Linked DNA regions of Oryctolagus cuniculus. The protein of the gene in region 3 purifies or fractionates together with the protein of the main gene of each other region. This does not show direct contact. Links are inferred from orthologs where the notes say so. Each region holds a gene or a part of one and is shown on either strand. Other genes may lie near its edges.

Region 1 (7,452 bases), on a different chromosome or scaffold from region 3:
AGCAGTGCTGTGGGTGCGCCCAGGTCACTGGCTCAGCTGCTGGGCTCTCCCAGGCGCAACCCCGTCCCTGTTGCACTGGGATCTTACACACAGGACCCGGCGCTGGGCCTTAGTCCTCCCTCTCCCTTGCTAGGCTGCACACCCCAGCAGTGCTCCCAAAGGGTCTGGGTGAGGATTTTTTTTTTTCCAAAGAAATCTTTTATTTAAGGTATACAAACTTCATGCATTTCCTAAGTACAACTTTAAGAACATAGTGATTCTTCCCACCATACCCACCCTCCAACCCACACTCCCACCTCCTCCCCCTCCCTCTCCCAGTCCCATTCTCCACTAAGATCCATTTTCAGTCAACTTTGTACACAGAAGACCAACTTTATACTAAGTAAAGAGTTCAACAATTTGCACGGAAAAAAAAAAAAAGCTGTTCCTCAACAGTCAAGACAAGGGCTGTTCAAAGTCATTATTGCATCTCAAAGTTAATTTCACTTCTTTTTTTTGAAACCTATCTTTAAAGAAGCCAGGGTGAGAATGTATTGGGAGAAGCATCCGCTGCCAAGCATCCGCTGCCCGGCGGCCTCCCAGTGCGGGCAGCCCAACCCCCCAGCGGCGGGGCAGAGGCTCGGGTGCGCCCAGCCCTAGTCCCTTGGCATCCCCCAGCCCCGCAGCCAGCTCTCCCCTTGGGGGCTTCCTCCACCTTCCGCCTCAAGGCTCACAAGAGTGAGGTCCAGAGCCTAGGGCTTTGCCCAGAGGGGCGGCCAGGGAAGCCCCCAAGGGGTCACTTAGGGCGGGGTGGGGGTGGGGGCTACCTTGCAGGCCAGGGGAAGAGCTAGGGAAGAGTCTCCAGGCGCCTGGAGTTGACACGATTAGGGGGCGGGGCAGGGGTGTGGCTGAGAGGTGGGGAGAGGCTGCCGCGAAGCCCCAGAGACCACATCCCCACAGAGTAAGGGGGTCCGCAGGGGCTCTGCCCTCCATGACCCTCAGCCTGTGGAAGAATGACCCAGAGCAGCCGCTGCGCCCTAAGAAAAGAAGCGGGACTTCAGAAACCCTTGCTAAGGGCTGGGACTGTTTGGGAAGGAAGCAGGGGAGAACCAGGGAGGTGGTGACAACTAGCAGACAGCAGCAGAGTCCTGTGGCCGCTCCGCTCTGCTCCCAGAACCCCCCGAACCTCCGGCTTACACCTCCAAGGATGGCAAAGCGTTAGCACACCTGTGGGACGCGGCCGCGGAGGGGCAGTGCCAGCTCTCCCAGGCGGCCCCATTTCGGGGATAAGGACAACTGAGTCCGGTCGCGTGCCCGGAGGTGGTCCGCTGACGCAAGCGCCAGGCTCTCCCCGCGCCCTGGACGTGGACTCACAGGAGGCTGGGGGTGTGGGGGCTCCCTGCACCTAGGGGAGGGGGATGACGTCAGAGGTCGGAAAGGGGCCAGGACCGTTTGGTGTTCTGGGGCCCGTCCGGTAGGCGGTCACCGAGACGAGCGAAGGGCCGGGGATCCCCCTGTTGTGACGGCGGGTCATGGGACGCTGACTCACCGCGGGCCGGACCACCTGACCCTGCGGAGGCAGCCTGAGAGGGCCCTGGCAGGGGGTTCCCCGGCCCGCCGGCCACCGCCTTGTTTACCTCCGCGCCGGCTCGAGAGGGCGCCCCGCCCCTCGCAGCAGCAGGGCATGCTGGGAAGGCCCGCTGGGTAGGGGTCTCCAGCCCGGCTCCCCGGGGTCCCATTTCCAGTCCCCCCTCCCCCCAGGCTCTGCACCCTTCGCTGGGAAGCCCCGCTCGGTTCCAAACGGGGCCAAACCGCGAGAGAACGAAGGTGTTCCTGGCGGCGGCCTGGTGGGCTCCGGTGTCCTGGCGGGGGTGGGGGATGCAGGAGGAGGGCGGCCCCTGGAGCGCTCCCTGACAGCCCTGGTCCACCTGAGGCCGCCTTCAGACCCAGGGGAGCCGGGCGGCCCACCCCTGGGCTCCGTGGCGCTCGGGCTGCTGTTGCTGAGTCACGCTTGGCTGGCACCTGCCGCAGGCCGAAGCCTCTGCCCAGCACGCCCCTCACTGGCGGGACTCCCGACCCTGTGTTGGGGCAGAGGGGCCAGCAGGCCCAGGGACACTTTCCCAAGGCTCACAGCGGCAGGGATCATGGACCAGCCTCTCCAAGGCTGCTCCTGGCACGGGAGCCTGGCTGGCTTCGCTGGGCAGGATCCCGTTACTCCTGTGGCCTGGCCACCTGTGCATCTGCCTAACCCCCATCCAACCAGCCCACCCTCATCGCTGGGCTTCCCAAGCTGCTCCCACAAACTTGACCTGAAAGGGGGGGGGTTTGACCCAACAGGGCTGACTCTTAGTCACAGGACCTGCCTGGGAGGTCTGGGGGGGGGGGTGACACACCTCCCTTCCCAGCGCCTTCCCCCAGGCCTTGCAGACAGGTCACTTTGGTCCCAGGAAGCAGAGTTTCTGGATTCCCAGCTGAAAGGTGACTGGTCCCATCCCCTTGGCCGCCCTTGTGGCCAACACTCTTGAGGCCCTACAGGCAGGCACCTGCTGCATTGGCCCCCTGCCCTGACAGGTCTGTTAGGCAGCCTGCATCTGTGAGAGGGAAGAAATGGGAATTTGTGTGGCTGGGTGAGGGAAGAACCACAGAAGCAAGCCTGGGAAGCAGAGCAGTATTTACATCTCAAAAGTCTTAGTTTCAGGTGGGGCCAGTGCTGTGGCGCAGCAGCTGAGCCTTCACCTGCAGCGCCGCATCCCATTTGGGCACCGGTTGTGTCCCGACTGCTCCTCTTCTGATCCAGCTCTCTGCTATGACCTGGGAAAGCAGTGGAGGATGGCCCAAGTCCTTGGGACCCTGCACCCACGTGGGAGACCTGGAAGGAACTCCTGGCTTCGAAGTAGTTCAACTCTGGCTGTTGCAGCCATTTGGGGAGTGAACCAGCAGAGGGAAGACCTCTCTCTTTATCCAAAACTCTGCCTGTAAAATAAATAAACACATTTTTAAAAAAAGAGCCTTGGTCTCCTTCTATAACCTTGTTGAGTGGGTCCCAGCCTTTTCCCAGGGGCAGCTTAGAGAAATCCCTGCCCTGCATTGGGGGGGTGTGTGTGTGTGTGTGTGGCTATTAGGTCCAATAATACTGCTGATGAAGTTCTGGGAGGAATTTCAGGAATTCCACACTCTGGAAGCCCTTCCCCCAGACGTGTCCCAGAAGGGGAGGGGAGGGGAGAGGAGAAAGAGGGCTATACCCGTATCCATAGAAACCCCAGTCTGAAAGCAGGTGGGTTCAGCTCTTGATGGAGATGCCCGCCTACTCTGTCAGGTGCATTCTTTTCATCAGACTTGGCCAGCACGCTTGCTGCTATTCTGTCCCATGGCTGAAGTTCTTGTGCTAAAACAAGGACCCCTGATCAACCATTCCTGGTGATGGTGAGGAAGGGCCTGGGGCGTCAGGCTCAGCCTGCTGGGCTCACAGGGCTGGGGGCGTCCATGTGTCTTTTTGAGCTGCAGTCAGCACTTGGTGACTGACTGCCGTCGCTAGTGGACGAGCCGGCCAGCCGGCCCTGGACAGCTAGGGACGCTCATGCAGGAGGCTGTGGTTGGTGTAGGGCTGCCTTCTGGGGGTCACGCATGGCAGGGCAGCAGGGTACCCTAGCAGCCAGCTGGTTCCGGCTGGTGGTGCCCACTGGGCAGCCTAGATGCCTCCTGGGATAGAGGGCTCTGTGTGTCCTCCTCTGTCCTGTGCTGGGCAACCCCTGCTGATGACCAGGGACCTGCTCTGCTGAGTCACAGCCAGGCCCAAGCCGGAGAGGGGCCTCGGACAGGACCCCAGCCCATTCCTTTCAGGAGGTACAGATGCTGAGGCCTGCTCTGGGGGTCTCCGGTGCCCTGGGGGCAATGAGGGGACAGACTGAGAGCGGTAGACCATGTCAAAGGGCAGCGGGGAGAGGGGCAAGCAGGCACGGGGCCCTGGCAGGGAGACTCGCGAGAGGCGGCCCCGGCGGTGGGGGGCGGCACCCGAAGAGTGCAGGCTCCGCCCCCAGGAGTCCACGTCGGGCGGGGCTTCCGCGTGCCCTACAAAAGCCACGCGCCACTGGCGCCACCGCCGCCGCCTCCTCCGGTGCTCCCTCGGTTGCGCAGCTGCTCGTCGTTCTCCGGCTGCGATGGCGTCGCTCACCGTGAAGGCCTACCTCCTGGGCAAAGAGGAGGCGGCGCGCGAGATCCGCCGCTTTAGCTTCTGCTTCAGCCCGGAGCCGGAGGCCGAGGCCGAAGCAGCGGCCGGCCCCGGGCCCTGCGAGCGGCTGTTGGCCCGGGTGGCCGCTCTGTTCCCGGCGCTGCGGCCCGGCGGCTTCCAGGCGCACTACCGCGGTGAGCGGGCCGGGGGGTGGCCGGGGTCCGGGGCTGCCCTTTCCTAGTCGGTGCCGGCTGCGTCGGAAGGGATGCTGTGCTGGTCGCGCTCTGGGTGAGCGGTGACCTGCGCGTACCCCACTTGCACCTCGGGTGCCAGCCCAGTGACCCAGGCCCTGTCCCTCAGGGGCCGAGGCGATCAGGCCCCGCGGGCTGGGGACTTTGGGTCGTTAGATGCTTCCTGTTCCCCGCCATAATGTTGCAGATCTCGCCAAGGACGCGCCGGGGCGTCCTCTCTGGCCCTGGGCTGAGAAGGTGGTCAGGCGGGCACTCGGGTTACACTGACATCTTGCTGCTGCCGGGGCTGGGCCCGCCGGCGCCAGGTTTGCGTTCAGCGAGCCCTGAAAGTGGGTGGTGGGCGTGGGCGGCTGGGGGACGCAGGGCCCTTGAGCCCGGGGTAGGCCGCAGGTCGCCCAGGGACAAGGCAGTGGGGAGACGGCCGATGTCGAAACGTTCTCCACAAACTCAGAGTGGGGACAAGCCCGGAGCCACCGCTCTTTCTGGCTGCGCTGCTCAGACCGGTAGCTGCTGCTGGGGGTGGGGTCCCGGGACAGCAGTGTGGGAGGGAGGTCCTCGGCCAAGGCCCGCCCCTGGGAGGGAGCAGGGCTGGGACCGCCCTCAGTAGCTTGCCCAGCATTTTTTTTTTTTTTAATTTCCTGGTGACAATTTTATTGAGCTGTAATTCACATACCATAAAATTTACTCATTTAAAGTATATAATTCAAGGGTTTAAAATTTTATTTCATTTTGAAAGGGCAGAGAGACACATACACACACACCCCAACCTACCATCTGCTGGTTCACTCCCCAATGGCTACAGCTGCCAGCCCCAGCCAGGCCAGGAGCCTGAACTCCATCAGTGTCTCCCAGGAGGGTAGCAGCAACCCAGGCACTTGAACCATCCTTTGCTGCCTCCTCCAGTGCACATTAGCAGGAAACGGGATCAGAAGTGGAGTGGCCTGGACTCCAACCAGGCACTTTCATATGGGCTGCCAGTGTTCCGGGCTGCCAGTTAGCCGCTGCAGAAATGCCTGCCCCGATGCAGTGGTCTTTAACACATTCACCAGTTGGAACTTCTGAGCAGACTTGGGGCTGGAGAGCGGGGCCAGGCGCTGGCAGTCAGCATGAGAACCCCTTCCTCTCCACTGGAACCCCATGCCTTTTACCTGTCTCCCTCAGCTCCTGCAACGCTGAGCTGCTTTCTCTCCTGGGCGTCCTCTTCTGGACAGTGGTGGAGAGGGGGTTGTACAGTTTAGCTTTGTGTCTGGCTTCTTTCCTTAGGGAAATGCGTTCAGGTTCATCAGAGGTGTAGGCTGCATCTGTATTCGTTTCTTTTGTGGATATGCCATATCGTGTTTGTGTCATTAGTTGATGGACTTTTGGGTTGTTTCGCAAAAGTGCCACTCTTGCTCTGAGGGTAGATGTTGCCCTCTGGTGCCCAAGTCCAGGCCCCGCCTGCAGCCTGTGCACGGTGCGGTCTGGTCTGGTCTGTGTGGCAATGCTTTAAAATCACGGAAGCCAACATAGAAGGACTCAGCCTTTTTTCTTCGTTGGAGAAAGCAGCAGGCCTCTGGGCTCATCTCCACTTAAACATTGCAGACAGCCCAGAGCCTTTGGCGGGCTGGGCCTCTGAGGGACAGGGCACTGTTATTGTCCGTGTAGTGTACGCGGAAACTTTGCCTTTTAGGTGTGACCGTGGCCCAGGTTCAGGCCCAGGCGGGCACACTTCCTGTCCAGTGAATGGGCAGGCTCCCTTCTTATCCCCGATCTGTCCAGCCCCACCCCTAAAGAAGTGGCCTTGGTGGGCATCAGGCCTAGTGGTTAGTTCACCCATTAAGATACCTGGGGCCCGTGTTGGATCCCAGCTCCCGACTCCAGCTTCCTGCCAGGACAGATGCTGGCAGGGGGTAGGTGAAAGTTCAAGTAATTGGGTCCTCACCTCCTACATGGGAGCCCTGGATTGAGTTCCTGGCTTCTGCCCAGCCCAGTCCCGGCCCTTGATAGGAGCTCTGCTTGTCTACCATGTCTCAAAAATAAATAAGAAGGTGGCAAGTTGAGTATTGAGGCCACCAGTGCTCCTTTGGCCCCCGCTGCGGTGCTTACGTGCTGCGTTGACTCTCTAGATGAGGACGGGGACCTGGTCGCCTTCTCCAGTGATGAGGAACTGACGATGGCCATGTGCTACGTGAAAGATGACATCTTCCGTATTTATATTAAAGGTAAGGGAATAGGGGAGCTGGGTGCTCCCCACTGGGTAAAACAGGCCCTGACTGTCCTCTGCAGGCAGTGCGGGGCGGAGGGCTCCGTGTTCCCCCGGAGCCACGGGCTTGGGCAGTTTCGGGGGTGTGGGTGAGGAGCACCACCAAAGGTGCGGACGCGGCGCCGCAGCGGGTTCCCGTGTTGCTCTGATGCTGTCTGCTGAGCCGGCTTGGGGGCTGGAGGGCGGGCCCAGCAGCTTGTAGTCCCAGCCCCACAGTGGTGCCGGAGGGGGAAGACTGCTGGGGCCTCACCCGAAGGCTCCCCACCTCCCTGCAGAGAAGAAGGAGTGCCGGCGGGACCACCGCCCGCCCTGTGCCCAGGAGGCGCCCCGCAACATGGTGCACCCCAACGTGATCTGCGATGGTTGCAATGGGCCCGTGGTGGGAACCCGCTACAAGTGCAGTGTCTGCCCGGACTACGACCTGTGCGGGGCCTGCGAGGCGAAGGGCCTGCACCAGGAGCACAGCAAGCTCGCCTTCCCCAGCCCCTTCGGCCACTTGGAGGTGAGCAGCCCCTCTCCGTGGGCCTGGGCTGGGGCTAGGGGGTGACAGGGGCTCCCGGCCTCTCACTGCCTGGTGCCTCTGCTTACTCCTCCCCCAGGGCTTCTCCCACAGCCGCTGGCTCCGGAAGCTGAGACATGGGCACTTCGGGTGGCCAGGCTGGGAGATGGGCCCCCCAGGGAACTGGAGCCCACGCCCTCCTCGAGCGGGGGAAGCCCGCCCCAGCTGCGCAGCAGAATCAGGTGAGGTTGTTGCCCCTGCTGGCTTCGGCAAGGCAGCAGTAGCCAGGCAGCCTGTGCGTGCTTTGCATCCC
Region 2 (6,983 bases), on a different chromosome or scaffold from region 3:
GATGGCCTAGTAATCCTTGTACCTGATTCTTCTATTGTTTAGAACCCACAAAGAGAGGCCCTTGGGCCCCTCGATTCCAATCCACTAAGACACATTATTTCTTTGAATAGATCTATTTAACAGGGCTTATTTTTTATTGGAGACAAGGAGAAACTACTTAGTTGTCAGAAGGAACCTAACAATCAGGATGGCGGAAAGCAGACTAATTTGAGGTGAGGAATGAAGTTCCATGAGAGCAGATGAAAGGCACCAAGACAATATGGAAGCATCAGAAACTAGTGCTCAAACATGCTTCTTTTCATGAAAAGATCAGGAGGATACAAGACCTACTCTAACAGTAATCTTGTTTGCTTTTCTTGTTAGTAGAAAATGGGTTTAATGTCCATCCCATGGACCTTAAGAGGCCCAGGAAACCATTTGGTCTGGCCCTACCATGGCAACCACAGGACCTGAAATTCAATGCATTTACAGCAGGCTAATTTTCAAGCTGATAATTTTGTATGGTCCATGAATGATGTTATAAATATCTAAGTGGCTCTTGGACGAAAAATGGCTCCCCGCATCTGCTCTAAGTCAAGTTTTCTGCAGTGTAAGCTGAGCACCTCTGTCTGTTGTGACAAGGAGAGAAGCAAACTGGCTCTCAAATTTACAGACATTCTAATGAATTTATAGAGAACTAGCCAACACACAATCCTGGCTAAGAAGCATAGTTAACAGAATCTAGTGAGAGTGAGTTCTGTTACCCAGTTGCAGATTTCTTTGTTTACACTATCATTTCTTCCTGTTACAACTTTACCCTCAACTGTCACATCCTCAATAAAAATATTTTGTTTAGTAATGTTTGCCAAGTTCCACCATAGGGGGCAGCATAGCACATGAAAAGAAGAAAATTTTTTGAAATTCTGCACAACAAAATCTCTCATAATTTATGGTATGATTTGGGATGAATCATTTGGACTCTCTATTTACCTGTGTGTCACAGGAACTTGTACAGTATGGGCTTAACAAATGGCAAATCTTGCTTCTGATGCTTCTGCTTCTTCTAAAATTGGTTCCAGAGTCAGTGAAAGACAGACGGAAAAATCATTCACTGGCTCACTCCCCAAATGCCAGTAACAGCCAGAGCTGGGCTGGGCTCAGCTAGGCCTGGCAAGGTTGATGTTAGGAGCTGAGAACTGAATTCAGGTCTCTCATACAAGTGGTAGGGACTCGAACACTTGAGCCATTACTTGCTGCCTCCCAGTGTATGCACAGGCAGGAATAAGGAATTAGAAGCCAGGCCTATGGCCGTACCACCCTGAACACGCATGATCTCATCTACCTCAGCAGCTAAGCAGGGTCGGGCCTGGTTAGTACTTGAATGGAATCAGAAGCCATAATAAGGCACTGAATCCACGTACTTGAAAAAGGGACAGGGCGTCTTAATGAGTATCTTAACTGCTCAACCAAACACTCGTCCCTAAACAGCAATTCCTAACGACCATTACTCTTGACTTTTAATATTAGGACAATTGGATTTTCTAATATTTACTGTTTGCTATGGGCTCCCATAAGAATAAACCTTTAGGGGGCCAGTGTTGTGGTGCAGTGAGCCTGGCTGACACCTGCAATGCTGGCATCCCGTATCACAGTGCCAGCTGAAGTTCTAGCTTCTCCAGCTCTAATCCAGTTTCCTGACTGATGAGCCTGGTGAGGCAGCAGAAGATACCTTCCCCTGCCACCCAAGTGGGAGATGCAGATGGAGCTCCATCTGCTGACTTTGGTCTGGACAAGCCCTGGCACATCTGGGGAGTGAACCAGCAAATGGAAGATCTCTCCCTGTCACTCTCCCCATCAGATAAATAAATCTTTAAAAAAAAAAAATATATATATATATATAAAATTACTAGGGTTAAAAATACTGTGCTCAGAATTTTGAGTTTTCAATGTTTTCAGAGAAGAAACAAATGCAAGTTAGAGCCAATATCTTTTTCATTGACATCATATTTGCATAAGAAGCATATTCAGGAGTAATGTATATGTCTAGCTGTCCAAATTTTTTTTTTTTTTTTTAAGAAAACTGCCAGAGGGCCGGCGCCATGGCACACTAGGTTAATCTTCCAGCCTGCAGTGCCGGCATCCCATATGGGTGCTGGTTCTAGTCCCGGTTGCTCCTCTTCCAGGCCAGCTCTCTGCTGTGGCCCGGGAAGGCAGTGGAGGATGGCCCAAGTGCTTGGGCCCCTGCACCCGCATGGGACACCAGGAAGAAGCACCTAGCTCCTGGCTTCAGATCGGCATAGCTCCAGCTGTAGCAGCCATTTGGGGGGTGAACCAACGGAAGGAAGACCTTTCTCTCTGTCTCTCTCACTGTCTATCTGTCAAATAAAAAAAAAAAAAAAAGAAAGAAAGAAAAGAAAAAGAAAAGAAAATGACCTGGAATCAAATACCACAGTCTGAATTTTATTCCAAGTATCCTAGAGAGCCTTTGAAGGATTTCAAGTGCAGCCACTGGGTAGCCAGCTCGAATGCTGGTGCAGGGCTCAATGCTGGCCCGGGAGTGCAGTGGAGGATGGCCCAAGTGCTTGGGGCCTGCACCTGCATGGGAGACCAGGAGAAGCACCTGGCTCCCGGCTTCGGATTGATGCAGCTCTGGCCGTTGTGGCCATTTGGGGAGTGAACCAATGGAAAGAAGACCTTTCTCTCTGTCTCTCTCTCACTGTCTGTAACTCTACCTGTCAAATAAATAAATAAAATCTTAAAAAAAAAAAAAAAAGAAAACAGCCAGAAAGTAAAATTTGCAAAGTATGTTGTGTAATACTGTAGAAAGTCAATCCTATATTTACATTTAAAAATGGTATTTTTAAGATGATTCTTATGTTTCTACTCTTTCCTAAAGTGAAGACTTAAATAAGCTGCCCTACAGCAAGATCTGTAGAAGTGTCTTATGTTTATAATGATCAAGAATTCAAAGCTCTTCCAAAACAAAGTACTTGAAATAGTGAGAGTTTCTTTTTTCATTTCCAGAGATTTATACATGGGGTGACTGACACTTTCTTCTTAAGCAATGCAGTAACAGATGACTTTAAGTGTTGTTGAAAAATTACATACTCCGGGAACAATCCTGAAGAAGAGTTTCAGGAATGAACGAAAAAGAAAAGACAAGTCAGTTTCAGGCTGAGATCCTACTTTGAAGAAGGGCACTAGTGCTTTGCAATGCAGAAGCTTTCTATTCTCTGTGCCATACGTATGAAGGCAAATGACCTCATGATAAACAATGTACCAAAAGTGTGTACACTGCTGGTTTCCCGATCCACTCCTGTTGTCTTGTATGTACAAATACTTGTTAATAATAATAGAATCACTAGGAAAAACTACCATAAAGTCAGTATACATTGTTTATTAAAATACAGCTAAGTTATACTTATGATTTCATCCTGAGTGTAAAGAAAAGGTAAGTCTGTATAACATTTTTCAACAGAATATTATGATGTAGGAAAAAGATACAGTTTGTCTAGTCACTTTTTCCTAGGAGAAATCAGTGACCGCCTCAGCCAGGCTGAGGTGTGACTGGACTCCTTCCTTAGATAACATCACACAACTAAACCCCACTCCCAAGCCCTAAGGAAAAGAAGGGGGGAAGAAAGGGCGTATCTGCGTGTGCGTGTGTGTGTGTGTGCGTGTGTGTGTAAATGGCCTCTTTTGATACAGCAATTTAACAAAGCTAGATCCAGACTGGGGATGAAAGCTGGGGATATTACGCTATGTATGATCTCAGCTTTACTAACAAACAGGACTGGAGCTGTTAGCAGGGCATGTAACTTGCAGATAGGCCAGGGAATTCAGGCGTAAATATGTTTTAGAAGGAATTTTAAAAGCTGAAGTGATGATTCAGCAATGCAAGCATTAATTTACATGTGTAAAATACTTAAAGGAGATGATGTTAAAACTGTACATTATTTATGGGCCAAATCAATGATTCACTGTAAAATTAAAAACCAAGCAAACAAGAGTGAGTGGATGGACCATCAGAAACATTATTCATGTTAGTGTCTGCAAAACTATTACTCAAGTTAAAATGTTCATTTCCAAAGTACACTTTAACTCAGTAAGTCTAATCAACACAGACAGTCAAGATTTGTATATAATTTTCGAATCACAAATAAAGAACCAGAACCAATGTGAGGCAACTTCCAGTAGCATGTGTTGGAGAAACACCAGCGTACAGCCCACACAGCAGCTGCACTTTGGCAGTGAAAGAGTCTTCATTACTTGATTTACACAGATCACGTTTCGCCTCAACTTTCCTCACCCCACACGACCTGTTCCCACACAACCCACTAACGCTTGCCCTGGGAGCACAGTTTAGAAGGAATTTGATGTGAACCATTTTTCACTGTAACAGGATCAATTACCTTTCTCCATTTAAAATAAGTTTGTGCCAGTATTAGTATTTCTATCTGTAATACTTTCTAATACCTTTGTAAAACAAAAGCAGTTCCTTTTATTATTACACATGCTAAGATTAGTTTGCGATAATACAAAAACTGTAAGGAAAGTTCTACGACAATTAAAATAGATACACAAAGTATCTCAAGTTAATAGGAGATGGAATACACTCACTTTTGTTGTCTTTGTATAGAATGAGGAGGAGAGTTGGTGAATGGGCAGGTCCACAACACTACTGGAATTTGTGACACTGTTACTATGTGTATGTTCATCTTCACGGCTACTGTCATCAGACTGATCAAAGTCATCACTCTCCTGGTCCATCTCCTCTTCCTCTTCATCCTCCTCCTCTTGCTCACCAGCATGTTCTTCATCCTCCTCTTGCTCTGGGTTTCCTGAGGAGTCCTCATCTACTGAAATAAATCGATTATTGTTTTCTTCCAAGGGTCCTTGCTGGGAATCATTTTGGTCTCCAGGTCTAAGTTCAGCTCCAACAACCTCACCATTCCTTGCAGTGTGTTCCTCCTCTGGTCTCAGCTGCTGCTGCTGCGGGCCCTCCTCGACCACGCGGTTCATCTGCTCCTCATCTGCCTGGCTTGAGGAAGGGTTGCCTCTCAGAGAGCCTCCACTTCGTCGTCTTTTGCTGCCCACAGAGAGCAGTTCCTGATTCATTTCCAAAAGCCAGCTTGCTACTTCTTGGACCTTGGCCAAACTATCACAAGATGCAAAGGTTTTCACATTCTGCAGGGGAAAATGGGGAAAAACAGGTTTGTACAATCTCCAATTTCTTTTACCTTTATGTTTCATGCTTATAGTCTAAATATCATAAAGAATGCAAAGAGTATTCAGTGCCATGGAGGCATCAAGATGTTCTTCAGTAATCAATATAGAAAGTTGATATTATAAAATTATAAAAGTTATGAGGCTTTATAAAGACATACACATAAATACAGTAAACAGCTTTATTTTAATATGCTTCTTTTAATAGTTCTTTATAGTTTGTTTCAACAAATAAAATATAACTAATAAAACTAACTTAACTAATAAAATAATTTTAAGTTTTAGGTCAACAGCTCATAAACTATAGACTATGTAAAACTTTGACAAAGTGTTAAGAAGTGTTATCACCAAAAAAAAATTATTCAGTGCTCAATTTCAGGAAATGCTGAGGTAAATCAACTTAACACAACCTTTTTACTCTGGAATTGTCTTAAACTTCTCTGACGACAGAATCCTGCCCTTCAGATACAGTTTTCTAACAAGGTAACAGTGATTATCATTGTGATTTTCGCTTTTCACAGTGAACATAAAGCAACTAAATAGCAAGTAAACAAAAAAAATTTTTGGGGGGGAGAGGAAAAAGTTCTTAAGTTCATACCCTCTGACCCAGTAACTCCACTTCTGGCAATCTATCCTAAGGAAGTAATCCTAAAACAGAAAAAAAATTATACAGAGGATGCTCATGGCAGCTTTATCCACAAAAGCAAAAAATAAAGGTAAAAATAAATGTAAATAAAACAAATGTTAAAGATAAAAGAAGTGATAAAATGGAATTTATTTAGCACAGTTCCTAAATATCATGTTCATTAAAATGTGGATATATATATCACATTATGTTAAGGGAAAAATGCAGGAAATTATATGATCACAGAATGATTCTTAATCTGCAGACAGCCTAGAAGATAATATTTTTAAAATAAGCTGTATTTTGAGCAGTTGTATTCTAGATGCTTTCAATTCATTTTTACCAAATTTCTCAAATTTTATACATCAAATATATTTACTTTTATGTTTCACACAGGCTCCAAAATGTTATTCAATAGAACATCTTTTCATAATGTTCATTCTGAAATTTTTTCCTTTGCTGATATCTGTGTGGACAGGTTTGAGGTTACGTAAAATAATATCAACATATTATACACATTTTTTAAAAAAGCACTCATGATCTAAAACTTAAAACTGCCAATCAGAAAAAAAATCAAAATGAAATTCTGTTTTCCCAGAATGCATACTTGTGCTTTTAAAATTAATTCTTCGAGAAAAATTCTGTGTGACTTAGAAGATGGTCACATAAAACACAAACATCAGCAAACAGATTCCTATTATCTTAAAAATCAATATAAAGTTGCTATTTCTTCTTACCAACAGAAGTACATAATGTCAAAACATATGAAATAAATAATGTATGCTTTTATTGATAATTAATGAGATTAAATTCAAGTTTAGTAAAAATAAAATCTGATGGCTATATGTTGATGTTAATTGCACTATTTCCTTAGCAATTGGATGTGAAGAGAACGAAAACAGTTCACAGTCAGGAATATCACTGATAATCAAAGAAAGTTCCTTTCTTATTTACATTGAAAATGTTCCTCACTTCACACACCAGGCAATCAAGGCTCAGAGATAAGACTGCTGGCTTGAAGCAAAGCACACCCAAGAACCTGACACTCAAACTGCGTCTTCCTTCATGTCTCTCAGTCTGCAAGAATCACGTATAATAAACTACCAAAAGAATATTATTCTCTCACATTATTATTACCTTCTTTCCAAAAACC
Region 3 (6,093 bases):
CCCCCCACTACTCCCTGGAGACCCATCCCCTTATCACCCCCCACGCGGCTTTCCAGGCACTCTGGGGGTCCTGCCAGCGGCTCACACGGGGCCCTTCTCCCGAGATGGGGTCTGGGTCTCGCGTGGCCCAGTGACGCCCCGAGGAAAGGGGCCACATCGCGTCCTGTGTCCTCCTAGTCCTAGTATCAGTGCTCAATAAAAAGGGAACATGGGAGGAATAAATGCTTCACTTTGGAACTCATTACGAACAGAAAGCCGCTCAAATGCATGTTTTTAAAATTCTGATGTCATTTATTGGCACAAAAATTGTTCAGATACAACATGGTGTCTAGACATGGCTACACTTTATACTTTGTGCATTTAGTCGAATATTTATTTTGCTCACAATTCCAACACGTACTTGAGCTTTCCTCTCTGCTCAGCACCCGTGACAGCGCTGCCGACCTCCAAGGCCTTTCCTGGAAGCGTGGCACTCAGATCTCACGGCGCACGGCAGACCCGTGCCGGGAGGGCCAGTGTGGGCTGCCCTGCTGTGCTGTGCTCGCCCCTGCGTCTGCTCAGCCAGGCCGCCAGTGGCCCGAGCAGGTGCCCCTCCTGGCGGTTCCGGTCTCGGGCTGCAGCGTGAGCCGCGGCCTCACTGGGCCAGGCGGAAGACGCGGCTCTCGCACCCGTTTGGCCCATCTTGCGGAAGTCGCCACTGCTGGCCCCACACCAGTGAGGTAACGGAGGGTGGAAGGGACGAAGCCTGTTGCTTCCACTTCCTTACGGACCCCCGTGCTCGCCAACACGAGGCGTCGTGACTGCACGCAGTGTGCTGTGCCCGTGTTGAGAGGACGAGGCCGCCCGTCTGTCGGCAGGTGCGCGTGAGGAGTCCTCTTGTGAGTGAGTAGAACCCGTATCTAACGTTAAGGACCTCTGCTCCCCAGATCAGTGGCTTCTTCCCCGGGTGCCCCGTCCCACTGGCCCGGGGACCACAGCAAGCCTGTGTTTCTGACAGTCATTCTTCAACAGCAGCTGGAAAGTTGGCTCAGACCAACTTGGAATATACAGTAGTCTTTCATGTACACTTAGAACATTTCACCAAGTCGAGCTTCCTGGCCAGAGCTCGCTTAGTGGAGGCGTACACTGAAGTAGAGAAGCCTCAGGAGAAACGCTGTGCGCACGTCTGGGCCTTCGGTTACCAGAAAGGACACCTAGGGAGGCAGGCAGAAAAGGAATATTTTAATAAGCTCAGCTCCTTCAAAGCTTCCCCAGTTACCCTGACAAGGGCGAGACAGAGGTCTGACAAGCCGCATTCCCTGAGCTCTTCCACAGCTAATTGCATGGGACACACACGTCCTCCTCTCATCCTCGGCATGGGGGGGGGGGCGCACCCCCTGCGGACACTTCCTGCTGCCTCCAGGCGCGCCTCAGGCAATCACTCCAAGTGCACCCAGCTGGTCCTTGAGGCGAGCCTCCTAGGTCATGAATCTGTCTTTTCATCTCTCTGTCACTGCTCTGGCTTCTTCGGCCTTGCCTGTATCTGAATTGCAATGACTGCAAAAATCCAAGAAGGACTCCTCAGGCCCGGCCTGTCCTCCTACGCCATCTCTAACTGTGATTTTGTGTGTGTGTTTGCCTTCCAAATGTGCATGCCTATGTCTCAGTTTTCTTCCCGTTAGAACAATGAGCACACAAAGTGAAAACAGACATCTGGAGATGTGAGCTCCTAAATGCCCATGACAGACACCCCACCCAATCTTCCTCGGCTACCCTGGGCCCGGGTGGGGTCCTGCCCGTGCACTGTTGCCAAGGTACTCTGGGATGCCTGCTTACCAGCCGATGTAGCACTGGCAGAGGTTCTCATGGGACGTGGCTTGCTTGATGAGCAGTTCCACTTGTGTTGGGACGTCCAGAGTGTCATCGTGCGAGAAGTCCCGACCTGGGTGGAGAGGCACAAACACTTTAATCTGCACCTGGTTACCACGCACCCCGTCCTCCGGCACAGCTGTCCACGCAGCCCATGTCAGCGTATCTCACACGCCAGCGTGGAGGATACACCGCAGCTGGATTTAAAAATTCACTAGTCTGCTTCTCCTAACACAGACTTGGTCCACTGAATATCACGTCCTGAGCTGGCTTAGTTCAGAAGTGGGGTTGGGAGGATTCAGAATATTCCAAAGTCCTCTGTGAGGTGGACAAGTGCAGGAGAACACCCACTCGGTGTTAATGCCGGGAGCCCGCTTCCACTGGAAAGTCAACACCTCCCGCTGCGTATGTCACAAGACCACTTCACGTCCTCTCTGCAGCCCCGGATGTCCACACCCCTCCTTCTGCCTCGCCCTCAGCAGGTGCCCCATCTCCAGCCCGGCAACTAATGCATTACACAGGGTTCTGGGGCCCCAGTGTTCGAGTGCGTGTTGGAGGGGCTGGATTCGCCTCCCCCCCCCCACTCCGTCCTCCGCCCTGGAGAGCTGCCTCCTCCCTCCCACTGAGGACCTGGCCCCGCCTGCTTTCCCAGGTGGCTCCTGGCATTGATCGTCCTTTCTTTCATACCGCACAAACTGCACAAACTCCCTCTTATCATACGGTGTCTTTCACACGTACTTGTAGGCAGGTGCTTCTCTCCCCCGCCCTCTCCCTGGGGCACACACTACTCGGCCTTTGAAGCTCCTCCCTTTCCTGACCACTTGGCGCTCGCGCTCTCTGCACCTGCTGCGGTCCGGCTGCTGCGCCCCACACCGCTCAGGAGTCACCGGTGCCTTGCAGCCATCCCGGAGCCTTCCTTAGCCCTCCTGCCCATCCTTTTTTTTTTTTTTTTTTTTGATTAATTAATTTTTATTTCACCTCCTCAAGACCTCGAGAGTCCATCCCCACCCCCTCCACGCCCAGTCTCATCAATGGTCCTGCTTTGCTTCTGCTCCCTTCTCCCCTCGAGAGCAGGCAGGAGGCGGGGTTTCACAGCGCAAACCTAGACCCTAGATGCTTTCCATCACCTGCCAGCTGACGAGGCGGGGGCCGAGGTCACAGGCTGCAGGGGGAGCGGGGGTCTCTGGCTTCTCTAGGTCCCACCCCTGAGTCACATCACCTCCTGGTCAGGAGGCAGATGACGGACATGAGCTGTCTCCTTTTCAAGAGTATGTGTCTCCCCCCCCCTTCCCTCCGTGACAGCTCTCAAAGCACAGGGAGTACATCAACTGATGACCAGAGAGAGAAGACGTAAACCTGCACGATGGAATGCTACTCTGCCGTAAAAAAGAATGAAATCCTGTCTTCTGCAGCAAAACGGATGCACCCGGAGACCACTACGCCGAGCGGAAGGAGGGACATGCTGCCTCTGTCCTCGGTGCTCTGTGCTCTAACGTACAGAGCACAGGGACACCTCCCTGAGAGGGGACGTGCGGGGCAGGCTGTGCTGTCTGCTGTTCCCTGCTGAACTCTGTATTCAGTGCAGCACGAAGCCTGCGTCTATAAGGTCAATTAAAAATGTGTTATCACAACAATTAAAGAAGGAAGGAAGGAAAGAGGAGGGAGGGAGGGAGGGACTGAGGGAAGTGCTGCATATCCTGAGAACTGTACCTTCAGGAAATCTGTTCTTTTTCTATTAATAAAAAATAAAAAGGGCAAAAGCCGAGCGGCAAGGACCCGGAGCGGTCAGAGTGGCTCCGGAGTGAATCAGGACAACGCACTCCTAGGAGCAGGATGAGCTTCACTCACCTCCTGAGGTCAGTGAGATCAGACTAACGTCAAGTTTCACTGTTACTGGTTACCACAAGACAGGGAGCGTGCTTAACGCATGGCCTCGCACGCGTTCCCGTGAGCCGCTCGGGGTCCGCGCTCAGCCCTGACCGCCAAGCAGGGAGAGGACCGTCTGCTCCCGCTTCATTCCAGGTCCACGCACACTCACCAGTGAGCTTATCGCGGACCCTGTTAATGATCTGAATGGCTTTCTTATTTAGGGCTTCTGGTTTCACCAACCCGTCTCCAACTGGAACACACAAAAGTCAAAACAACAGTAAGAATCAGACTGCAACGGATGCAGGGGGCTCCGCTGCTTCCCTCGAGTGTTCACTGTCGCCAGTGCCGCGTCTTCTGCGTCCTCAGGAGAGGATCAGCGGAGACGCCCCTGCTCAGAGGCTGCTGTGCGACTTGGACTTCCCGCTGTGGCCTCTCTGCGCGACACAGCAGTGACTCTCCTCCCAAGCCAGGCACCAGCCCGTCCCGCGGGGGAACTTACTGAAAGAATGAATGGATTCTGGCACTGTGGTCCCCGTTTTCTTATGGGCTGGTTCTCCAAGTTCTACACCGTCCAAAATTTCTAGGGGGAAAATCAATTAATGGAAAAATAAAACACCAACAAGCCATAACTCCCATCAGTTTTTTTTTCTTTTTTGAAAAATTAATTTTTTTGAAAAGCAGAGTTAGAGAGAGGGAGAGAGAGGTCTTCCATCCACTGGTTCACTCCCCAAATGGCTGCAATGGCTGCAGCTGGGCAGGTCTGAACGCCAGCTACCTCTTTTTCCCCCTTTTTAAATATTATTTATGGGGGCTGGCACAGTGGGTAAAACCGCTGACTGCCATACAGGCACCGGTTCCAGTCCCGGCTGTTCCACTTCTAATCCAGCTCCCTGCTAATGTGCATGAGAAAGCAGCAGAAGATGGCCCAAGTCCTTGGGCCCCTGCCACCCATGTGAGAGACCTGGAAGAAGCTCCTGGCTCCTGGCTTCAGCCTGGCCCAGTCCTGGCCATAACAGCCATTTGGGGGACTGAATCAGCAGGTAGATTTCTCACTCACTCTTGGTTTTTCCCCTTCCTTCTGTAACTCTGCCTCTTAAATACATATTTTTAAAAGTATTTATTTGAAAGGCAGAGCAACAGAGAGAGGGAGGGAGAGACTGTGAGGGGGAGAGAGAGCTCATTCAGCCGCTGGTTTACTCCTCAACACTGGTCTCCTGCATGGGTGGCAGGGGAAGTACTTGTGCCAGCTTTTGCTGTCTTCCCAGGCACATTTGCAGGGCGCTGGCTCAGAAGCAGAACAGCTGGGACTCCAACCGGCACTCTGATAATGTGGGGTGTCAGCACTGCAAGAAGTAGCTTAACCTGCTGTGCCAAAACACTGGCCCCAGCTTTTAATTCTTCATGTACTGGGGCTGGCGCTGTGGTGGAGTGGGTAAAGCTGCTGCCTGCAGTGCCAGGATCCCATATGGGCGCCGGTTCAAGTCCTGGCTGTAACTTCTTTTTTTCTTTGGCAGGTAGAGTTATAGATAGAGAGAGACAGAGAGAAAGATCTTCCTTCCATTGGTTCACTCCCCAAATGGCCGCTACGGCCGGCGTTGCGCCAATCTGAAGCCAGGAGCCAGGTGCTTCTTCCTGGTCTCCCATGCAGGTGCAGGCACGCAAGCACTTGGGCCATCCTCCACTGCACTCCCGGGCCACAGCAGAGAGCTGGACTGGAAGAGGAGCGACCGGAACTAGAACCCAGCACCCATACGGGATGCCGGTGCCGCAAGGCGGAGGATTAACCAAGTGAGCCATGGCACCGGCCCCTGGCTGCTCAACTTCTAATCCAGCTCTCTGCTGTGGCCTGGGAAAGCAGCAGAAGATGGCCCAAGTCCTTGGGTCCCTGAACCTATGTAGGAGACCTGGAAGAAGCTCCTGGCTTCAGATCAGCACAGCTCTGGCCATTGCAGCCAACTGGGGAATGAACCAGCAGATGGAAAACCTCTGTCTCACACTCTCTGTCTCTCTGCCTCTTCTTCTCTCTATGTAATTCTGACTTTCAAATAAATAAGTAAGTCTAAAAAAAGTGAAATATATATTTAAAAAAATTCTTTATATGTACTGTATTCCCCTTAACACCTGCCTTACCTACCTCAAATGGAAAAGGACAGAGGCAGCTTTGTGTTACTCTCTGTAAATTTAGAAGTTTTTAAATCTAAAAGCCATATTTAAATGTGAATTATTATAATTGAAGAATATGGTATTTATCAGAAATAAAACATGAATTTCCAAGCAAATAGCATTAATAAAATGTTCTGACAGAGAATGGAGTAAAGGTCAAAGGTTTGGTGACCAAACAGATCTTGCTGGATAAAAATGGACAATAATGTCAAC
Region 4 (7,476 bases), on a different chromosome or scaffold from region 3:
GGCCTGGTGCCCCCGCAGCTCCTGGCCCCAGATGGGACCCACGTCACAGCTGGTGGACCCTGCCTGGGCCCCTACAGCCTGGGGCAGGCGGGGTCCCCGCTGTGACCTGGGCCTGCAGCTCCGGGTGGGGCCGACCTCAGGGGGCCGGGCCCTCAGTGCCCCACTCGCCCTCTGCCTGGGGTGCCCAGCCCAGATCCTGCACCCGGGGGCGCCCTGCCCGCCACCCCGCCCAGAGCGGGCCCATCTGCAGGGAGCAGCAGCCGAGGGGAGGCCTCCATCCGCGGCCACCCCTTCCCTGGCCCAGTGCCCCTCACCGGCCCGTTCTCCTCGTCCGACGACCGCGCCTCCGTCCTCTTCTCCTTGAAGGCCCAGACGGGCACGGACACGGGCAGGGACTTGGCGTACTGCTGAGTGGGCAGGGCTGAGGCCGGGGGCACTGAGTGGGCTGGGGGGCCAGCGGGGGTCTCCTCGCTGAGGCTGCCGTCTGGAGGAAAGGCGCCCGTCAGCTTCCGTCCCCGCCCTCCCGCCCCGCCCGGGAGGGGCTGCGGCACTCACCGTCCGTGCTCTCGGGGTCCGACTCACAGAAGGGGGGCAGGTCCTGGAGGGTGGCGTCCTCGTCCATCACAAACAGCCCTGGGAGGGGGCGGGCCCCGGGCCGTGAGGGCCCCGCCATCACTGTGCCCACAGCACCCACCCCAGGTCACCCCGGGGCTGAGGGCCCCGCCATCACCGTGCCCACAGCACCCACCCCAGGTCACCCCGGGGCTGAGGGCCCCGCCATCACCGTGCCCACAGCACCCACCCCAGGTCACCCCGGGGCTGAGGGCCCCGCCATCACCGTGCCCACAGCACCCACCCCAGGTCACCCCGGGGCTGAGGGCCCCGCCATCACCGTACCCACAGCACCCACCCCGGGTCACCCCAGGCCGTGAGGGCCCCGCCATCACTGTGCCCACAGCACCCACCCCGGGTCACCCCGGGGCTGAGGGCCCCGCCATCACCGTGCCCACAGCACCCACCCCAGGTCACCCCGGGGCTGAGGGCCCCGCCATCACTGTGCCCACAGCACCCACCCCGGGTCACCCCGGGGCTGAGGGCCCCGCCATCACTGTGCCCACAGCACCCACCCCGGGTCACCCCGGGGCTGAGGGCCCCGCCATCACCGTGCCCACAGCACCCACCCCGGGTCACCCGCCGGGTCCCCGGCACACGCGGGGCGCCAGCATCTGGCTGCAGTCCCGCGACACCGCTCAGCCCCACGCGGGCTCAGAGAAACCGGACGCGGCGTGACCTCCGTCTGATGGAGATGGAGTCACTCGCCCGGGGTCCCACGGCTTACTCGTGACAGGGCCAGGCTCAGAGCCAGGCTGCTGGGGGGGGCTTCCGGGGCGAGGCGAGAAGGCCGCTCTCCAGGGGCACCAGCCACGCCCCCTCCCCCAGCCTCAGCTCAGGCCTCCGATTCCGTGGCTGAACCACTAGCCCCTCGCCTCCAAGGAAGACGCCCCGGAGCTCGGCCTGTGCCAGCCCCCGGCAGGAGCTGGCATGAGGCTCAGGGCGGGTCACACGGGGCCACAGCAAGCGGCCGCGGCTCCGGGGACAGGAGGGCCCGGGACCAGCCCCCGCCTCCCCTCACCTCCATTATCGCTGACGCCGAGCCGCTCCCCAGAGGTCTCGGTCTCTGTGGGCGCGTCCTCGTCCTCCTCGTCGTCCTCCCTGGGCAGGGCAGGCCGGGGCGGGCTGGGTGCGGGACTGGGAGGCTGCGGCACTGGTGGGGGCGCTGGGGGCCGGGCGGCGGCGGCGGCCCTGTGGGCCAGGGCGATATCGTGCAGGCAGCGGCGGGCGGCCTCGGCCAGCGCCCCCCGGCCGTGGGCTGCATAGGCGCAGGGGCCCGGCCGGGGCGGCGGCGGCGGCGCCGCGGTCAGCAGCACCAGCTCCGTGCCTGTGCGGGCCCGGAAGCGCTCGGCGGCCCCCACCACAGCCTCCCACAGCTCCTCCGGGCGCCCCAACGCCATCCGCGCCCTGTGGGCCAGAGCAGGACACGGGGGAGCTGAGGCCTGGCTGCCGCAGCTCCCGTCCACCCTGGGAGCCCACCCAGGTCCCTCCCGCCAGCATCTGATGCCCAGCCGAGTGCCAGCTCTGCCTCCGCCGGGCCTGACTGTCTCCTGTGGGGTCCAGTGGGCGGGGCGGGGCAGGGGCGTTTGCAGTAAGCAGATGGGGACGTCCGGCCGCGGCTGCCACGGAGCCCACGTTCCTTGTGGCACAGCCGTCCCCCCCCACCGTGACCCCAGCCCCAGGAGGGTCCTCCCGCACCCAGGACAAGGGCCCGCCGCCCCCACGGGCAACACTGGGCTCTCCCCCCAGCTCCCCACAGCTCTTGGCCAAGCTTCCCATCGTCCTGTCGTGGACGCAACTTTCCCTCTTCCTAAACTCCTGCTTCGGGCCCCCACGTCTGAGCAACACCGTCTCCTCGCGGGGCCTGTGGTCGGCGTGACTGGGGGGCCGCTGTCTGCCCGAGGACCACCCACCGCTTCTTGCTTCCTGCAAGGCTGGAGCGGCCCCCAGAGGCCCTCCGCGATCCCCACGCCACCCAGGCCCTAGGCTCCCTGCACCGTGGGCCCTACACCAGAGCCCTGCGTCCCCGGGCAAGCAGCCTGCAGGTGCAGCTCAGGGGGTAGGGCCTGGCCCTGTCTCTGTGTCGTCAGGGACTGGGGGCTCAGGCCCAGCTGCGGTCCGGTCCGCGTGCCCCTCGCAGCTCGGCATCCCAGAGGCCAGTGGGCCTGGCCCTGCCCTGTGCCCAGACCCCTCAGCTGGGCGCTCACCGACAGCCAGCGGCCCGGGCCTGCCCAGCACCGGGGTTACAGCACCCATCGGTGAGCCGCTCATCCGGTGGGAAGTGAGGCACCGGCCCGAAGCCCCAGGGTGGGACCGGGCGGCGTGGGCAGGGGGCAGGGAGGGGCTCGCTGACCGACGGCGCGCGGCTCCCAACACCAGGGAACAGGACCTAACCGGGGGGAGCAGCGACCGAGGCCAGCAGCCAGGCCCGGGGTGCGGGCGGGGGCTCGCTCCCCAGGGAGGAGGGCGGCTGGCCAAGCCCCCCCAGCCTGTCAGACTGGAAGCGGCCCTAACAAGGGGCACGGGGCACCCCTGCGCGGGCGGACCTTGGGGCCGCCGCCCCGCGACCTCCCCGCAGCCCCCGGGGATCCAGGCCTGACCCGCTTTCCCAGCAAAACAGGAAATCCCGCCCAGGTGAGGGCCAGGGCCGGAAGTCCCGCCTTTGGGCGGGTGAGGGGCGCCCGGAGCCCCTCCAACAACCCCCTCGGGCCCGTGGACGGGGTCCGCGGCCCAGGTGAGGACCCCTGTGGGTCCGAACACCGGAAAATGAGGGTGTCCAGGCTCTGCCTAGAGTCAGACACGACGGTTCTCGCGGGCGACCCCCCTCCAGCGCTCAGCCACGTGCCGCTGGGCTAGCTCTGCCCTCTGACCTATGCAGGCCATACCACTCCCGTGAGCCGGGCGCCTTCCCGGAGCCCCTCTGCCTCAGGATGGCCAAATCCTCCCAACACCGCGGTTCACAACGCCGCCTCCACTCACGTGCCCGTAGCCAGCATGGCCGGACAGGCGCCGTCGCCGCCCTCAAAAGGCATGGCGGCGGGCTGATGTCACTTCCGGGTGACTCCCCTCCTTCCTTATCTGGCTCGCCCGAGACCAAGATGGCCGCCATGGGGTTCGATCCAGGTCCGTGGGAGTGTTGGCCACAGTGGCTAGCCCACAACAAAGATGGTGGAAATGGCTTACCAGCTTAAGCCGCTTCGAGGAGCCCTCAGAAAATATGGCCGCCCACACATGCTTACACGTGACCACGAGAAACTAGGGAGGGCGACCTAACGTTCCTCACCCTTTCTTCCACAAAGTGGAAGTGGTGCCCGTTAACGACATGGCAACCAGCCTGGCTTCACCTGCCCGTCGTGTATATGGGCTCTCTCTCCCTCTAACCTATACCCCCTCCGAAGCCAAGGCTGGCAAAGACCCAAGATGGCAGCATTTCTCGCTTCGGTTTGCCCAGCTTCAACATGGCGACTCGGCCCGCTTCGAGGGTGACTCAGGAATTCGCCTGGGACAGCTTCGGTCCTGGGGACGCCGACGGCTTGGTCCCGTCGTACCGAGTCCGTCGGCTCTCGGGCGACGCACAGCTCCTCTCACCTTCTTTGCCTTTATCCGTTCCTCTTCTCGAGCACCTCGCTACCTCGCCCCGCAGAGAGATGGAACTGCCCCGCATTAACATGGCCTCAGGCTAGCGGGTACGGCCGTGCCCTCGAGCAACATGGCACCCCTTGGCTTCGCTGCCAGTACACAGTACGAAGCAGGAAGGGGGCGGTTTCAGGGAGACACGGGGAGGAGCCCCGGATCCTCCCACTTGTTTACTTCGTGGTGAGCACCGTGACACTGAGCCTGCGCACTCTCGCTGGCCAGCTCCTCTGCTAGAGTCCGCGCCATGTGACTCGCATCCTTAGAATTCCACCCCCCCATGTCTAAAAGATGGTTTCACCCACTCCTGCTCTAGAATGCATAAGGGCGCAACCACCGTGCGGCCGTGCGGGGGAGTCTCCCTTCCGGATATGACACTACGTTGACCCGGAAAAGGAGGAGGCTGGGGCAGCAGGATCTCGACCGAGGCTATGGAGGGAGCCGGCTACAGGGTAAGCACTGGGGGCGCATTCACTCGCTTCTGCCTATGCGAAACGACCCTGTCCGGTGATCTGCCTCTCCCCAGGCCGTGCCAGGGAGGCCCGGAACTCCACAGAGCCGTGGGAACCGGGTGTGGGAAGACCCTACCCCCTAGCCCCGCCCCCGGACTCTGGGGACCTTGCGAGCTCCGCCCCTTTCGGAGCGCGCGGCCGCCCTGTGGGCGGGGCCTCCACGCGCTGACTTCCCTGGTCCGCCCCCATCGGCTCCCTTCGGGGCCCCGCCCCCGCCAGACTCGCCCCCATTGGCTCCCCCCGGACCCGCGCCCATTGGCTCCCGCCGGACCCGCCCCCACGGCTCCCTTCGGGGCCCCGCCCCCTCCAGACCCGCCCCCATTGGCTCCCGCCGGACCCGCCCCCATCGGCTCCCTTCGGGTCCCGCCCCCAGGTAGTGTTCGAGAAGGGCGGCGTGTACCTGCACACCAGCGCCAAGAAGCACCAGGACCCGGACTCGCTCATCGCGGGCGTCATCCGTGTGGTGGAGAAGGTGGGCCGGGTGGGGTGGACGCGGCGTGCAGGGGGCCCGGCCTTGAGGGCGTCCGTGGCTCCCACTCGGAGGGCTGAGCCCCGGGACCTGTCCCACTCCCCCCAGGACGGCGATGTGCTGCTGCACTGGGCCCCCGTGGAGGAGGCCGGAGACTGCACGCAGATCCTGTTCTCCAAGAAGGTCAGTGTGCTGCGCCCTGCGTGCCCTGGCACCGCGCGCTTCCCCGGGGTCCAGTCCCAGGCCTGCCCCTGGGGCCCGGGGATGCCTGGCCGGGGCCCGGGTCCTCTCGGCCTCTGGGTGAGGTGGGCCGAGGACGCCCGTTGGAGGAAGGAGAGCGGAGGCCCGCCCAGGTGCAGAGGCCACTGCCGCCGCTCGCCCCCTCCCTGCGCCCCTGTCCGGCCCCGGGCGCGAGGCTACTCAGCAGGAGGTCGGTGGGCTGTGAAGACCCGGCTTCGTAGTAAGCCCATTGGCCTCAGTGATGGCCGTCACCGCACCCAGGGGCCTCCCCCGGGGCCTGGCAGCTGCCTGAGGCTGGGCCACGTCTCTGTCGGGCTGTCTGTGAATGCCTTCTGGCGTGGACACGTTCCCCTTGTCCTGGGCACTCCCCGCGGAGCGGCGTTGCCGGGCCTGGGGAGGAAGTGCCGCACCGTGTCCCCAGCCCGGCCCTGTTGCACGTGGCCGCCTGCAGCGTGTGGGGCTCCGGCGTCCCTGTGCGCCCGCCGCCGCTGGTCCTCAGGTCTCTGGTGCTAGCTGTCCTCGTGGGCACGGGGTGTCTCCTGCCATGGCTGCCCAGCTGCCGCCTGGGCACCAGGAGCCTCGGGTTCCAGTCCTGGCTGTGCCGGGTAACCCTGGGCAAGTGCCATGCCACCTCTGTGCCTCAGTTTCCCTACGAGGCTGCGCTCATACCTAGAAGCCATGAGTCCGTGGCCCCTCACTCTCTTCCTCTGCCCCAAGGACTCCAGTGGGGGCTACTCCTGCGCCTCTGAGGAGGAGCCGACTTTTGACCCCGGCTATGAACCTGACTGGGCCGTCATCAGCACCGTGCGGCCGCGGGCCCGGCCATCGGGGCCCCCGAGAGGTGGGCCGAGCTGGAGGCTGTGGGGGCCGGGGTGGGGGACCCGTGTTCTCAGGAGTCTCTGCCCCCAGTCCCAGGAGAGAAGAGGTGGCTGGGGGCAGGGCTTGTGGCTGTGCCCAACCCCCGGGCTTCTGGGTTGGCCGTGGGTGCATCACCTGCCGAAGTCCAAGGCAGAGGGAGGCCGGGGAGCCCAGAACCGGCACACCGCCACCGGGCTCCACTCCCCAGGCAGCGGGCGGTGGCCCAGAGTCAGGAGGCTGGGGCCCGGGGCCAGCTTCCCGTGCGCCCAACGCCGTGCCGTCCCCCAGGTGCAGAGCCCGGCTCCTCCCAGGGCCCCTGGGCCTTCTCGGTGAGCCTGGGTGAGCTCAAGTCCATCCGGCGGTCCAAGCCGGGCCTCAGCTGGGCCTACCTGGTCCTGGTGACCCAGGCCGGAGGCTCCCTGCCCGCCCTGCACTTCCACCGCGGGGGCACCCGGGCCCTGCTGCGCGTGCTCAGCCGCTACCTGCTGCTGGCCAGGTGAGCCGACCCGGGGCGTCCCCTCGGGGCTGGGGAGCTGGTTCAAGGCTGGGAAACGCAGGTGGCCCCGCGGCCCCAGGAGGTAGAAGGCATCTCCCCTGCCCCGGCACCACCGCAGGCCCACCTCTCACCGGCTCGGCTCTGGGTCACTCCCCCTTGGCCAGGGAAATGGGCGCTCTCATGGGTCAGCCCTGGGCCACACACCCACCCCTGCTGCCAGCTCCGCCCTCTGCCTGCAGTGTCACTCCAGGGGCGGCTGGGGTGCTGCGGATGGCCCCAGCCTGCGCTCCCTGTCCCCGTGTCCCCACCTCAGCCCTGGCCCCCCCCAGGACCCCCGCCTCAGTCCCGGCCCCCTGTCACCAATGTCCCTGCCTCAGCCCCGGCCCCCCTAGCTTCCCACAGGACCCCCACCTCAGCCCCCTGTCACCCCCCAGCTCCCCGCAGGACCCCCGCCTTGGCCCCGGCCCCCTGTCACCCGTGTCCCCACCTCAGCCCCCTGTCACCCCCCAGCTCCCCGCAGGACCCCCGCCTCGGCCCCGGCCCCCTGTCACCCGTGTCCCCGCCCGCCCCCAGCTCCCCGCAGGACTCCCGCCTCTACCTCGTCTTCCCCCATGACTCCTCCGCCCTCTCCAACTCCTTCCACCACCTGCAGCTCT

What was found.
Region 1: the proteins of MTOR (region 3) and SQSTM1 purify together in Homo sapiens (affinity purification with western blotting; 4 studies listed by BioGRID, with this or other methods). This does not show direct contact. The link is inferred for Oryctolagus cuniculus from reciprocal best matches to the Homo sapiens genes MTOR and SQSTM1.
Region 2: the proteins of MTOR (region 3) and FBXW7 purify together in Homo sapiens (affinity purification with western blotting; 9 studies listed by BioGRID and IntAct, with this or other methods). This does not show direct contact. The link is inferred for Oryctolagus cuniculus from reciprocal best matches to the Homo sapiens genes MTOR and FBXW7.
Region 4: the proteins of MTOR (region 3) and AKT1S1 purify together in Homo sapiens (affinity purification with western blotting; 8 studies listed by BioGRID and IntAct, with this or other methods). This does not show direct contact. The link is inferred for Oryctolagus cuniculus from reciprocal best matches to the Homo sapiens genes MTOR and AKT1S1.

Annotation. Positions count from the first base shown.
Region 1 is NC_091437.1:67,651,845-67,659,296, reverse strand, and holds the start of SQSTM1 (sequestosome-1), read left to right. Parts: upstream 1-3,538; 5' UTR 3,539-3,899; coding exon 3,900-4,341; intron 4,342-6,503; coding exon 6,504-6,599; intron 6,600-6,915; coding exon 6,916-7,142; intron 7,143-7,239; coding exon 7,240-7,381; intron 7,382-7,452. UniProt on the Homo sapiens protein: Molecular adapter required for selective macroautophagy (aggrephagy) by acting as a bridge between polyubiquitinated proteins and autophagosomes.
Region 2 is NC_091439.1:12,127,513-12,134,495, reverse strand, and holds part of FBXW7 (F-box/WD repeat-containing protein 7), read right to left. Parts: intron 5,854-6,983; exon of another isoform or gene 5,804-5,853; intron 5,167-5,803; coding exon 4,600-5,166; intron 1-4,599. UniProt on the Homo sapiens protein: Substrate recognition component of a SCF (SKP1-CUL1-F-box protein) E3 ubiquitin-protein ligase complex which mediates the ubiquitination and subsequent proteasomal degradation of target proteins.
Region 3 is NC_091438.1:157,193,478-157,199,570, reverse strand, and holds the end of MTOR (serine/threonine-protein kinase mTOR), read right to left. Parts: intron 4,298-6,093; coding exon 4,217-4,297; intron 3,968-4,216; coding exon 3,887-3,967; intron 1,922-3,886; coding exon 1,816-1,921; intron 1,194-1,815; coding exon 1,178-1,193; 3' UTR 271-1,177; downstream 1-270. UniProt on the Homo sapiens protein: Serine/threonine protein kinase which is a central regulator of cellular metabolism, growth and survival in response to hormones, growth factors, nutrients, energy and stress signals.
Region 4 is NC_091449.1:7,693,590-7,701,065, reverse strand, and holds the start of AKT1S1 (proline-rich AKT1 substrate 1), read right to left. Parts: upstream 4,189-7,476; 5' UTR 3,722-4,188; coding exon 3,483-3,721; exon of another isoform or gene 2,820-3,482; intron 2,020-2,819; coding exon 1,634-2,019; intron 634-1,633; coding exon 556-633; intron 485-555; coding exon 315-484; intron 1-314. Other genes in the region: TBC1D17 (TBC1 domain family member 17), read left to right, coding at 4,677-4,697, 5,131-5,229, 5,335-5,409, 6,184-6,307, 6,613-6,820, 7,394-7,476. UniProt on the Homo sapiens protein: Negative regulator of the mechanistic target of rapamycin complex 1 (mTORC1), an evolutionarily conserved central nutrient sensor that stimulates anabolic reactions and macromolecule biosynthesis to promote cellular biomass generation and growth.